Rattus norvegicus: one gene and its partner. The protein of the gene in region 1 interacts with the protein of each later gene in a pairwise test. Links are inferred from orthologs where the notes say so. Each region holds a gene or a part of one and is shown on either strand. Other genes may lie near its edges.

What was found.
Region 2: the proteins of Dzip1 (region 1) and Ppp2r5a interact in binary tests that used the Homo sapiens proteins (3 or more experiments, as listed by UniProt). The link is inferred for Rattus norvegicus from reciprocal best matches to the Homo sapiens genes DZIP1 and PPP2R5A.

What each region holds. Positions count from the first base shown.
Region 1 is NC_086033.1:102,374,606-102,381,163, forward strand, and holds part of Dzip1 (DAZ interacting zinc finger protein 1), read right to left. Parts: intron 5,800-6,558; coding exon 5,737-5,799; intron 3,590-5,736; coding exon 3,453-3,589; intron 1,185-3,452; coding exon 1,022-1,184; intron 623-1,021; coding exon 493-622; intron 1-492. UniProt on the Homo sapiens protein: Molecular adapter that recruits protein complexes required for cilium assembly and function to the cilium basal body.
Region 2 is NC_086031.1:105,502,784-105,510,135, forward strand, and holds the start of Ppp2r5a (serine/threonine-protein phosphatase 2A 56 kDa regulatory subunit alpha isoform), read right to left. Parts: upstream 3,985-7,352; 5' UTR 3,808-3,984; coding exon 3,627-3,807; intron 1-3,626. UniProt on the Homo sapiens protein: The B regulatory subunit might modulate substrate selectivity and catalytic activity, and might also direct the localization of the catalytic enzyme to a particular subcellular compartment.

The sequences.
Region 1 (6,558 bases):
GAGGTTTCAATGACCCAGCCCTTCTTGGTTAGCTTTCTCCACATGTGCTTGTGGGCTGGGCTGTAAGAAAGCTCTCAGTGAAAGCTCCAGAGCCACGCCTGCCTGCCATGCCTGCCTGCCTGCCGCCATACTGCCGCCATACTGCCCTCTGTGATGGTCTTTGACTCTTAGCTCTCCAGACCCGTGAGCCCCAAATCGAATGCTTTCTTTATAAGTTGCTTTGGTAATAGTGCTTTGTCACAGCGACTGAAAAGTAACCATGGCACTGCCTCTGAAAGACGAAGGGACCAGAGCCTGTTCCCCGTGTGAGGACATAGGACACAATGGCTCTGGAGACAGAACTTGACCTCTGACACTCTGATTCTGAACTTCCAGCCTCCAACACAAATCCCTGTTGTTCTGCTGATCCAGTCCAGGATGTATGATTACAGCGACTTCAGTCGGCTATGGCAAAGCAGTGTTTTTGTTTTCCTTACAGTTGGAAATACTCACTTTGGGGCGGACGCTTTATCAGTGAACATAGTTTTCTGCCTGACCAACGGTCTGCTTCTGGGGGGAAGCTGGGTTGCTTTGGGTACTTCTTCGGGTGGAAAGGAGGCCATGGGAGGGGCATGGCGCCTATCTGGAAGAGAAGTATCCTTTGTGAGTCTCTGCTGCCTTTACAGTAAAGCGTAAAGTCTAACTAAACGTACACTATCCCTAAGTCACGGAAAAGAACAGGGCGCCTCTCAGGTCTGGGGTCCAGAACAAGGGCTTCATTATACTGATTTTCCCCCCTTTCTTTTGAGACAGGTCTCTTGTAGCCCAGGCTGGCCTTGCATCACTCCTGGTCTACCTGCCCTCACCTCCTGAGCACTAAGATTACAGGTAGTCATCCACCCCAAGGTGGGAGTCAGACCCAGCATCTCAAGTACAGGCAGTAAGAGAGCAGCCGGTGCCAAAGTCTACAAACGTGGGAAAGGCTGTCAAACTTGGCTCTCCTTTGTGGCTGTGGAGTGCCAGGCGGCAGCGGCGGGCTTACCTGAAGAGTGTGATGCTCTCTCTCCCATTTTACAGATCAGCTGATGCTCCAGGTTTTCTCGAATTTGCTGAATGTCGGGCACCTGTTTTGCTAGGTCGTGTCTGGCTACTTGCATGGCTTTAAGCGATCTATTCAAGATCTCGCATGGAATACCTTGGATATTCTGAAGGAGTAAGGTACTGTGTCAATCCCTTATCATCAACCTTGGAGGTTTCTCATCCGTAGACGTACGTCAGCAGTAACTCTGCTCTTTTGGGGTCCAGGGTCATTTACGGTATGGGATCTAGCATATAACAAACTCTCCTGGTTCTAAAAGGAGCTTGCAATACAGCTGTGCCTGTCTATGGCTGGTCAAGCCACAACAGAATGCAAGTGAAGCCACCAGGACTAGAGGAATCCCAAGAAGAAAGGCTGTCAGAGGCCCTGGCCTTCAGAGAACGGTGAAGGGGGTTGGGCAGGCGCTCAGCTGCGCTCTCATGAAGACTGGCATTAGCATGTCAGTCAGTGGCAACTGAGGACGCCTTGTGAGAAAGACAGGACAGCAGGATAGAAGTAGACATGTCCCACGGGCTCACCCTATAAAGATTTGTGTGACAAGACCAAAGAGAAGAAACTGAGTGCCAACCTTGGAGCTCGGCACTCATCCGCAGAGAGGAGAGCTGTGCAGTTATGGGCGTGTCTTGTACAGCTGAAGTATGTTAGTGTGAATTCAGAGGTGACCGAGGGACTCTGTAGCTGACGGGGACGCAGGCAGAAGGGAAGGTACTCTTACTTCCAGGGTTGGTTCTGCACTAATGCCCCACTCATGAGCACTTCCTCTCCCCAGTCTCCCTTCACCTCCCCTCTCTTCTGTGCTCCCTGTCATGACCCCACACGGCCCAGGAGGGAGGTGTCTGTCACCAGAGAAGTGTCATGTCCACGCTTCCTCTATCCTCCGCTGTTCCTCTGATCTGCCCAATGTCTTCTGGTCTCTTCAGAGGGTCAAGGACTTCTTACACTTTCTTTAATCGTCAGGGTTAATGTCTGCCTTCCTACACCTTGTAGTTAGTGGGGAGGATCTGATGTCATACAGCTGTCGGCCTTTCCTAATTAACACCCGGAATTTCGAATAGTTTCCACCAGTGTCCCAAACATGGCTGATCCAGAAGTGGGAGTGTCTTTCTAAAGAGCAATAGGAACTGGCAAGCGTTTGAAGTAGTAACACTAGCGTTGCACAAGCACAGCCCATCAAGGCAGGGGAAGGCCAGGCTCCTATGGTCAAGTCAGTGTGAATGAAGTGAAGTCTGCTGACTCGAAAGTCAGTGTGAATGAAGAGTTAAACAAGGAAAAGTCACTGAAGGTCCAAAGCAGATCTGGACGCATGCAAGGGTTTCCACGTGACAGAAGCGTGATTTCGAATGAACGGGGAAACCAGGGTCACACAAGCAATGATATCAACTCCATCAACTGGAAATCGAGTCAAACTTATCTAATCCTGAACCAACGTGAGTGCATATGTGTACATGTGCACTCACACACGCACACATGCACGCAGAGGAAACAAGCAGAAATGTTTCCAAGCACTAGGTGAAAAACCATAAATGAGGCTCTGATCAAAATTAAAACCCAGGAAACCCATGGGAACGGCAAGCACAGAAATCTAGTCTCAAGAGCGTCTGTATAGGAACCGTGACACTGTACAGATGTCTCTGATTTCCCTGGCCTTAGCAGGGCTAAGAATCCCCACAGAGAGTCTATGTGGAGATTACAGACTGACGGTACTAACAACTGACTGAAGACCTGGAGTGATTGAGCCCTTCTGCCCGTTGAGAGGGAGCGTAGATTGGCGCATTTGATAAAACGATTCAGCTGCAGCTATGACGTTAAACACGGCTGCCTCTTCACCCAGCAATGCCATTCCTAGAAATGCTTCCAAGAGGGAAATGATGCCTGTCTTGATTGCCTATGCTCACAGAAAAGGCGTAGTAGTTCAGAGTCACACAGGAACCTGGCACAGCCACTCTCAAAAGGAGCGTTAAAACTCCAATGCGTTTAGATGCTATAGTAGAGTAAATACAGGCCAGACTGCTCGCGCACGAAACAGACGAGAAGCATCGTCAGAGGAGGCAAGACGCAGAATACTATGCAGCACCCAGACGCACCCTCGGGCTCCTCCAGCTGCGGGAACCTAGCCCAGTTTCCCTCTGAAACAAGTCATAATGACATTGACGCTGAGTCCTACTCCCCCGCCTATGAGTAAGTCTGGATTTGTTGAGGTCTTAGACACACACCAGGTTCTAGCGAGTGTCACGCAGGGCTCTGCTAACCTGAGTCATCTTAGCGTTTAGTCTCCGAATTCCGACAGGGTGAAGAAGTCTGTTCTTCTCTCTGTGTGTCCTGATTTTGAAAGTGGAATCTAAAGGAGCGAATGTCCAGAAAACGAGGGACGTACCTCGCTGATCCCGAAGCTTCTCAGTTTATTCCCCAGCTCCTTCTCCAGGTTGGTCCTCAGCTCCTTAGGGGTCGGGTTGGTATTTGGCGTTTTCCTTACATGCGTCTTTTTATTTGTTTTCTGCTCATTTTCTCGCCCTGAAGAAGAAGAAGAAGATTTAAAGAGAATTATACAAACCCATTCCAAGCAGAAAATCAAAACGCGCAGCTTTAAGGCAGGAAGTAAACGTCTGTAAAGATGTTGAGGTCTTGACTAATTTCATAAGGCTTAGGTATCTCAGCTTCTGTAAGTCTCCCTCAGAACATGAGTGACTTCTGAGACTCCTTACTGCTCACCCGCATTAGAGTTGATCGACTTAAGAGGTAGATAGAATATATATTTCTTTAATGTTTTATCAGTGGGAGTATTTCCCAAAATGTCCCTAGGCTTACTTAGAATTTATCTTAGGGAGAGAAGAGGTCCAATTTGTTTTAAATTTCTTTAAGTTTTGAGGAGATAACTTAGTGAATGCTAAGGCACACCACTTTGCTGTCTAGTCAGCCAGGGTAGGGCTCCCAGACTCTCCGTGCTAACACTGGAGCTAGTAAGTAAAAAGTTAGAGGCAACTCGTAAAGACACATGAAAATATACCTCATTAAAAAAGACACGTTTTTCAGAAGTGCCAATGATTAACGCAGCAACGCCAAGACTCGGACATATGTACCACGTAGATATTATGAACAGGACTGGTTTAGTCAATTTTCAGTTTGTATTTGTAGCTTTATAAAAATAAGAAAGAGTGGTAAAATCCCAGGAAGCCCAGGAGTTATAAGAACTACTAAAATTTTACATGTTATGGCTGAAGTGCTCAGCAGTCTCGAGCACACGTTGCTCTTCCAGAGGTTCTGGGTTCAGATCCCAGTGACCGCGTCAGGCAGCCGATTGCTGCCCATAGCTCTCCCTCCAAGGGACTCCAGCGCCCTCCTCTGGCCTTTGCAAGCACGGCACTCACAATGACAAACTACAATAGGACGTTTTTTTGAAGATTACAGAACCTCCCCTCCTGACAGAAGTGGTTAAGAACGGAACCCTCATATTGATTACCGAATAGCTTCCTCCTTAAGAGGTGATAAATTGTGAAGCATTATTCCCGGTAAGAAAAAAATTACTGATCAGGGGGAAATATGTCAGTGGATGTGTATATATAGTAGTTTGCATATACATATGTATATATATATATATATATATATATATATATATATATATATAAAATTATTTGGAAGGAAACTTTTGCATTACTCCTTTTGGTCTTCATTAACAGAGCAGGTGTTCTTGTCCTAATTTGTCTAAACGGCATGCTTTCGGAAATGACGTCAAACATTAGAAACCACTCCTTGTCAAACTGACTGTTCCCAGCACTCAGGAGGCAGAGGCATGCGGATCTCTGTAAGTTCGAGGCTACTCTAGTTTATGGAGTGAGTTCCAGAGCAACGAGGGGCTGCACAGAGGCCCCGTTAGAAGAAAACAAACAAAACAAAGTCCCACAAAGAACCCTGATTGTTTACAGCAGACACCTGGAGTCACGGGGCTTGGGGAGGACGCAGACTTCAAGCACAGCTGGAAAACATGAAATCCGGCCTCAGAAAGCAATGATATACACTTTCTCGTAAAGTTTAAAAAAAGATATGTAAAAGTGATTTTTTTTAGGAATGCCAAAAAGAAATATGTAAGCAAAAATAATTTATCAACTCAGTCCTATGACAGCTCCCACATTGCATGCACACTGAAGGTATTTCCTCTATTTCGTCCCCAGTGCTTACATCCTGTGTTCATTTTTGACATTAAGAGAGATTAGGGGACCGGGCTACCGCTCCCAGGTAGAACCCTTGTCTAGCGTGTGCAAGCTCTGAGTTCCAGTATTTGGAGATGGAAACTGTACTCATTCATTTCAGACTAACACGGTGAGACAGTTACTCTGGCACAGTTTCACATCATCGGGTATACGATACAGGAGTCACTCTGTCAGCCAGTCAGGGAGTATCTGTACTGAAATAAAGGAGCTTTGCTTTTAAGTTTCCTGACATAAGAGATTTCTTATTAACTTACCTGCATACAGCCTCCACAAAGCATAAGATTTAGGAACACTAGGGGAACAAGATAACATGGCACAGTATATCACACAGGTCGAATCTACGGCCCTCATATAAGGGTCGCTCTTGCTTTGGGTATGGTGTGTGGTATGGCACAGGCTTGTACTTCCGAGGTCTAGATCTGAGTAAACAAGTAAACCTCAGAGCTCTGTTACCTTTTTCCTCCTCTGAAGAAAGTTCTGCTATTGGTTCCAGTATGTGTGAAGAGAACACTTGCTCTGTTAATGAAGAAAAAGAGGGGTCATACAAATACATCTGCTTGCCTCCAAGTAATTTATACAGACATACATACATATACACAAACTACTGTATGCACATATCCACTGATATATTTTGCCTAAATAGCAAAGATCTACTGGGAAAATACTAAGGCAGTGACTTCTGATTTTATTATTTTAGTCTATTTATTTATTCCTTTTCTTTAAAAGATAGGATCTTATGGAGTCGAGCTAGCCTTGAACTCTCTGTATAGTGAACAGTGACCTTGAACCTTGATCCTGCCTCCACCTCCTAAATGGGTGAGTTGGGAGCACGATTCGCCGTGCCTGGCTGAGGCAGAAACAACTGATCACTTCTCCAGGAACTCTCCAATTTCTAGGTACTCTATAGAACTTCAAATGCCACTTTAAAATTATATATTTTAAGGATTTAAGTTTTAAATCTCTCACTCATTCATCTCTTGCTGACATGAGATGCAACTTCAAAAATACTTTCCCATGAGCCACCTGTCTAAAATACAACAGTAGAGATAAAGTGAAATAGAAGCCGGAACTTCCAAGAGGGATGTATTAGCCTGGATAGCTCACACCTTTGCCTGGCCGCCTGCCGGAACCCTTGACTGTTGGCTAGGAGAAGCTGGCAAAGATTAAGACCCAGAATGTGAAGCAGCGCAGGTGAGCAGCAATACAGAGACACGGTCTTGCAGATATTCAAGGCTCCCAACTCCGGCTCTGTCCTAGAGAGCCCCGGGGCGACGC
Region 2 (7,352 bases), on another chromosome or scaffold:
TCACTCAGAAGACCACATACCTCAACAAAACAAGAGCATACATTTCCCCCTAATTCTAAGAAGGCTACTTCAAGCTACTTCTTCAGTCAGCATTAATGTTCCGGTCTCAGTCTTCAGAGATCAACAATGAAACTGGATGATTTTCCAAGTTTTTTACTTCATCTTTTTAAAAATTTGTTCGTCGTTTGTTTGCTTATTTATTTGTATATGGGTGTTCGTCTGTGAACCACTTGTGTGCCTGGTGTCCTCACAGATCAGAGGAGGGCTTTGGATCCTCTGGAACTGTTGTTAGAGAGGTTGTGATCAGAACCTAGGTCCTCTGGAAGAAGAGCCAGTGCTCTTAACCAGTGAGCCACCTTTCCAGCCACTCTGCCTTAAGAAGAGTTCGATCTCAAAATCAGTTTCTGTTCTTTGCTGTTTATTAAGAGAAATGTGTCTGTATAGCCATAATGACAAACTTCCTTTTTTTGGTAAGAAATTATTACTACAGGCTGGATAGATGGTTAGAAGGTTAGAAGTATGTACTACTCCCAGAGGACTGCAGTTCGATTCCCAGCACCTAAGTTAGAGCTGTTCACAACCATCTGTAAGATCAGCCTGCTCCAGGGCATCCAGCTCCCGGGCATCCTGCTCCAGGGCATCCACCACCCCTGAGCTCTACAGACAACAGTACCCATGCACCTCATACGCATAATTAAAAGTAATGTTCCGGAAAAGCTTTTATTTAAGTACTATTAATAATTCTACATTTAAAAATATTTTAATCTGTATTTCAAACACAAGAGAATGGAGGCTAGCTTTATTACAGGCACTTAAATTATTTCATTTAATCCCTCCAATCCAGGGAGATAAGGAAAATAACCCAGGAAGATAAAAAAACTTTCCACCCTGACTACCTCTCCTGGCCAGACTTTCTCAACCATACCACTTCAAGTTTATGTAAAATGAGTTTACAGCAAAACTACTGGCATTTGACCAGAGTCCCAAAGTCGGACAAAGCACCATCCAGATAACCACAGGTCCGAAACTAACCCATTTAAACCTCAAAAAAAGATATTTGTGAAAATACACTGAGCCCCAGACTGTCAGATAGCAGCCTAATAGCATTACCATAGTAGGTTAAAAGGCACATAACAAGTGTCAATGATACAGTTTTAGGCTGTTCCAGTTGTCATGGACAATACTGGTTCATGTGCTCTTGTTTTGTTCTCAAAGATAATTATTTGAAATACTAAGCTGTACGTACACGGAAAGGACCAGCTATTTTACCAAGCCAATCCTTTCAGAAATTAAGCCAAATTAGGCTAAACACACTGAAAGGCTACCTTTTTTAAACAAGTCCCCTAATTGTTCATTACCATATAAGTGTTAGGCAGAAAAACCTACATGAACGTAAGTTTCAGATCAGAAACAGTGATTCCCACATACTGAACCTGGTTTCATTTTCTGGCCCTCGGAGGAATTACTATTTATTTTTAAATCAAGCAACCCACTCACCTACAGGATTCTGCGAAAATAAACTGAAAAGGTTGGATTGTTTTGTTAATCCTTACTCACTGTCTGCTTTTAAGAAAACGACTTGGCACCCTTCCAGTTTAGATCCATGTGGACAAAGTATAAAGCAAGCAGGTTGGCTGATATAAAATACGTGAAAGATCTTGGATGCCCACAGATATCTGAATCACTCCACCGTAAGATTGTATTTCAGAGCAGTAAGAGAAATTCTCTCTCATACGAAAGGGTTTTCTGCTGTTGTTTTTGTTAAGCCCACAAATGGGGGAAAATACTACTGACAGAAAAAGCTCACCACACGGTGGTATCAAGGGCACTGCCAAAGTACCAAGTAAAACAACTAAATTAAAAAAAAAAAAAAAAAAAACAACAAAAACCAAACCAAACCAACCAAACAACCAAACAAAAAACCCAAAACACTTTTCAAGCCTTTTGACAACTGAATTTAAAGCTGTTTTTCCTACTGAGGGTTTTATTTTCAAGTAAAACGTTGTACTTCCTCAATTGAATCTGCACCAGCTTATCATGAATAGTACCTTATGAGGAACACTATACATGCAAATGCCTGAAATTAACCTAGGGTTTCAATTTTTTTTTTTTTTTAACTACCGACCAAATTCTATACCTGAAAACATTGGCCATACCTGCTACATCTTCAATCAAATATCATGTAACTTTGAATCTGATTACTGATCTGTGAATTTGCCAGTCTTAAAGGCAAAATCTATCACAGAGGCATCTCTTGAGACTAACCAGATGTTCAAAATTCAATTATTAGATCAGAGGAACTAAGAAGTACAACACTAAGAAGAAAACCACGTTAGCAAATTAAATACATATGAAAAAATGCTAGTATCGAGACTTTTGAACTAAAATTAACACGATAAACTAATTAAAACCAATCAAAGAATAAAATAACTTTTTAATTTAAGTATAAAAGCTTAAACCTCTGAATAGCAATTCACTATCCTAATAGGTAGGACAGGGTTACTTTTCGGCTCTGGCTGCACTCCACTGACTGTGCTGTATCAGTTTGAACAATTCTGGCATGTTAAAGGGCAATCAATCAACAAACGAGACAGCACACACCAAACATAAACTATTTTCCAAAGTCCGTGTGAGTCTACCCTGTGGTACGTCCTTGATTCAGAAGCACCCCTAGAGGCAGATGTAGAGTCTAAATGGGGTTCCAAGCTCTTGCTGGTCAACTGTTGATTTGATCTAGGGTTTTCTTTACACTCCTTGCCAAACTAAGTGAGGATTCATAGACTCAAAGACAAATCACAACCAGATTGGCCTTGAAAGGGATGCTGGATCTTTGTCAAACGAATTGAAAAATCTGCTGATCATTTATCTATTTTGGCATGAGTCTTTAATTTCTTGGCCTTGTAAATCATTCTCTAGGTTTCTATCAGGTTACAAGAATTTCTTAAATATCTAGGAACGTGATTATCGTTTCCACTAATGACATCTAGCTCATAAAAGGCAAGGATGTGAAATTAGTAAATCAAAAGATAGTAATTCTCAAAGAATAAGCCAGAACCAGTAAACAACTCGTGAAAAGTCCCCAAACGTGGTGGGAAAAGTAAGTAAGCCAAAAGGGGTGCCAAGCATTCCTGCGAGGCATTAGGCACGGATACCAATTTGAATTTACTTACAAAACCTTACAAAAGTCCTTGGAAGCACAGCCGTGCGAACCAAGTTCCCGTTGCACTACAAAGAAACACGATTCCTTCATAACCTCTCCAAAGACAATCGAGGTCTTCTATGAAATAACATTTACGTCTAACGAGACTGTAAGGTGTCACTTGGTCCCGGTTTCAAGCTAGTTCTGTATAGCTAAACCTACAGGCCAGCTAACTCGGCAGCAGTTTGTTCGGACCCTGGATGTGGCGACTGAGGGACAAGTAGAGAAAGTGATGAACTAGCTAAGCGTGGAGAAAACCAGAGCCGAGGCTCAGCGGAGTAGGGAGTAGGGGGACTGGACGACGAAAGGGAACGCAGGTACCTGGCGACCCTGGAGTCGCCAAGGCAGGGCAGGTGGGGCAAGCGCGCAGGTGGGAAGGGGAGTGGGGCTTGCTCCGGGAGCGCGGAGCAGGGGCAGCTGGGGTTACCTTTGAGCTGGGGCAGGGGGTGCAGCTCCGCCTGGCTGCCCTGGCTGCGGAACTGCGACGAGCCCTGAGAGCGCTTCTGCCTCTGCGCCTTGCGCACCGATTTCCGGGTGAAGCCGTCCACTTTCTCCGAGGCCGAGATGGCGGCGCAGGCAACTGGTGCGGGCGGCGACGGCGACGACATCTCGGCGACCCGGGCGCTCGGCGCCTGCCGAGGCGACTGGCCCGGGAAATCGGCGGGGCACGGGGACGGGCACGGCGAGCCTGCGCCCCTGCGTCCCGGGCCCCGGCCGCGCCGCCCTCGCGCTCCGCAAGCTGCTCCTCACCCGACAGCGCCTCACAGCCGCATCCCCGCGCCGCGAGGCCACCTCCCGGGGCTGGCGGAGGGGAGGGCGGGGGCGCGCGGGCCGCACAAGTTGCTGACGCCCGGCGCCGAGGGCGGGCGGAGGCGAGCCCGAAGTTTGGACGGCTGGGGAGAGCGCGCGGGTGCGGACGCCGGGCGCGCCTCGCGGCCCCTTGGCGCGCCGAGCCCGGGCAGATCCTCAGCGGCTGCTGCCCGCGCCGTCCGCCCGGCCGGGAGCCTCCTCCCGGGGCGCTTCCATCGCGGGTCCGCGCGAGCTGCCGCCGAGCTCTCGTTCTCCTGTCAGCGCTGGCCCCTCATCGCCCGGGGCGGCCACCCGCGCCCCGATCTTTGGAGAGTCGCCCTCGCTCAGCCTCCCGCGCCCACCGGCCGCCCACGGAGCACGCCCGGGGTAGCAACTGCTACAACTTGAGAGGGTGGCTGGTACGGGCGAGGGGGGACTCCGTGCGCGTGCGTGCGCGCTCCCGCGGCCCGGGGGAGGTCCTCGCGGGGGGTGGAGGGAGGAGTTTGACTGACAACTTCCGCGGGGTCCCACTAGCCTCCCGAGTCTCCGGAGGGGGCCGGGGCGGGAAAGCATGCCAGTTCCCTCGACCAATCGCAGAGCTAAGCGGCAGACGGGGAGGGGGCGTGGCCTCCCGGATGTCTATCAAGAGTCCATAGCTGGGTGGGAAGGAGGGAGGGGGCTATGTGACAGACGCGGGCCACAACCAATCGCAAGTGAAGTCAGTGAGCGGGGTGCCTTGTGCGTCACAACTGTAAAGGAGAGCTCTCAGGAGGGAGAAAGGGGAAACGCGGCGCCGCGGTCGGCTTCCGTGTACTCTGGCGCTACGCTTCAACTCTAATTGTCCTCCAGACAGCGAGTGAGAGGGAAACTACACAGTCAGCTCAAAAAGCAGAAGAGTGTCCCCCCCTTCTCTCTGCGTCCTGGGGACCAATGAGGACCTAAAGCGAGGGCCGGGGCGCCCAAGAACGCCAGGCATTGCGTCAGTGGAGCGGGGGCGGGGCCGAGGTCGTGTCAGAGCGGAGTGATTGACAGGCCAAAGAGCCCGGGGAGAGGAATGAGCTTGTCCAATCGGAGCGCGGTGCTAGGCTCCTGGGCGGGCCTTCGTTCTCTCTGGTCCTAAACCGCGTAATTGGTGGTTGGGGAATCCATTTGTAGCTCCCAAGGTCTCGGCGCCGCGGTTCACTGAGCGCTGATCTCGCGTGGGGTTTGGGCAAGCTCGTTTCTACCACTTCAGAGAACTCTGCAAGTCTACTCCCTCTGAAAAGAAGTTTCCCGTCTCGAACTTAGCCCAAGTTTAGCCTTCAGTCATCTGTAGCCAAGTTCAGATTAGCTGATTTGGGGTTTTGGGATCTCTTCCTAGGAGATTCCGTCTAAGTTTTATATTTAAAGCCAAGGACTGCTCATGTTAGCTTTGGGCATCCGTATGAGCTTCAACAGTAAGTGATCTCCCCTCTCCAATAGTCTCTGCAGTCTCTCCTGCAAGTCTTACACCTTTTCCTTTTGACATAAAAACTGAGGTGAAGTAGACTGGCCTGATGTTCGAGGAGGATCGAGAAGTATGCAAAAGTAGAGTTCTAGACCCACACTCGAAACATTCCCTTAGCTAAATTATATAGCCAACCTAGGTGTACAACAGAGGAATGCAAAAGGAAATATGATGTGTATACAGAATTTTCCCACCATAAAGAGCAAAATTATATCATTTGTAAGAAAAGAGGCCCAACCGGAGATAATCATATTAGGCTGATTAAGCCAGTCTCAAAAACATAAAAACATCTTGTTTCCTCTTGTTTGCGGTTCCTAGATTTTACATAGGTATGTTAAATCAAGAATTTGCAGAATGAAAGTAGACATGAAATTGTCTAAGGGAATTAAAGGGATTAATGGAAGGGGAATATGTTTGATGTACAAGAAATACTTGTATGAAATTTCTAATATAAAATTAAATATAAAAAACAAAAAGTTATATACATTCTTTCCATCAAAGAGGCTCAGTCAGACTGCATCAGCAACTTCAAGACCTTTCTTATCCAATCCAGACTACCTCACAATGTTCAAAGCTTTTTTTTTCTTTTAACAATTTGCAAATGAACCACCCATCATAATTCAGGGGTTTGAAGATCACTGCCAGCTGGCCTTTCAAAGGGCCAGTTTTACATATATTTCCAGATTATAATATAATTAGATCATTCCCCCTTCCCTCCAAACCACCATTCTTGCATCTCTCAAATTCATAGTCTCTTTTTCTTTAGTTGTTTATGTATGTATATATAGAGATAGGTATATTCCTAGGTATATAAATAAGACCTGCTCAATCCCTATAATGTTACTTGTACATGTATGTGTCAGGGGTGACCATTTGGGATTCGATAACCAATGAGTGTGCTCTTCTCCAGTTCTCAGCTTTTCTTAGTTACATGTAGTTCTTTGTCTTATGTCCCTGCAGAATAGAGTTCAAGTTCAGTCTGACTCCTGACTTGCCAGGCATGTGTATATGCTCTTCCTCATCCTCTTTTTCTTCTAATCCTCTACCTCCTACTCTTCCTCCTCCTTTTCCTTCTCCTCCTCTTCTTTCTCCCCCTTCTTCCAGTTCAGGCACACTATCCCACAAAGTCATCATGCTTTCTTGATACTTAGAGTTGTTCCAACATCTTGAAATGATCCACCTCATCCCCGTTTGTTGAACCTTCCAAGCCCAGCTAGACACCTATCCTCTGTGAAGCTATGCACAATAATCTGCCCTGAGTGGATGTCTCCCTTAGTGTTCCGATTGTATATATTATTCATATCCTCAGGACCTGCCACCCCAGATGGCAGTGTGCTCCTTCTCCTCTGAAGATTCAGAAGCACCAAGAAAGCAGGAACTGGGTTACTTAACTGCTCTTAGCATCTACTGAAATAGATAGGCACTATTGAACAATACAATTTTCAGCTCTCAATAGCTTCTGAAAGTGTAGTTACAAAATTCCTTATTTCAAAAAGAACTGAGGCTATTATTTGAAATGCAGACTCCTGGACCTGATGTAGAATATCAGAAAATATGGAGAAACAGTTGGATGCCTGTTTTTAATAAGCTCTCTATTGTTGTCAGAGAAGTCAGAAGTCACACTTCTCTAGTCACCTAAAGTATGCAGGTTTGGACTTTTAGCCCAGAGGTAGAGCACTTGTTAGCATACACAAGGCCCTGGGTTCAATGTGCAGCACCCCCACAAGTGAGAGTAAATGTCTACAAGGCAAGGAAATGGTATTTCTAATAAAGACAATGGATATGAGAGGGAGGGAGGGAAGGGAGAAAGGGAGAGGGGGAAAGAGAGAGGCGCACAGTGTTTGGGTATTGTCTGAAATGGTCACCTGGGGAAGAAGT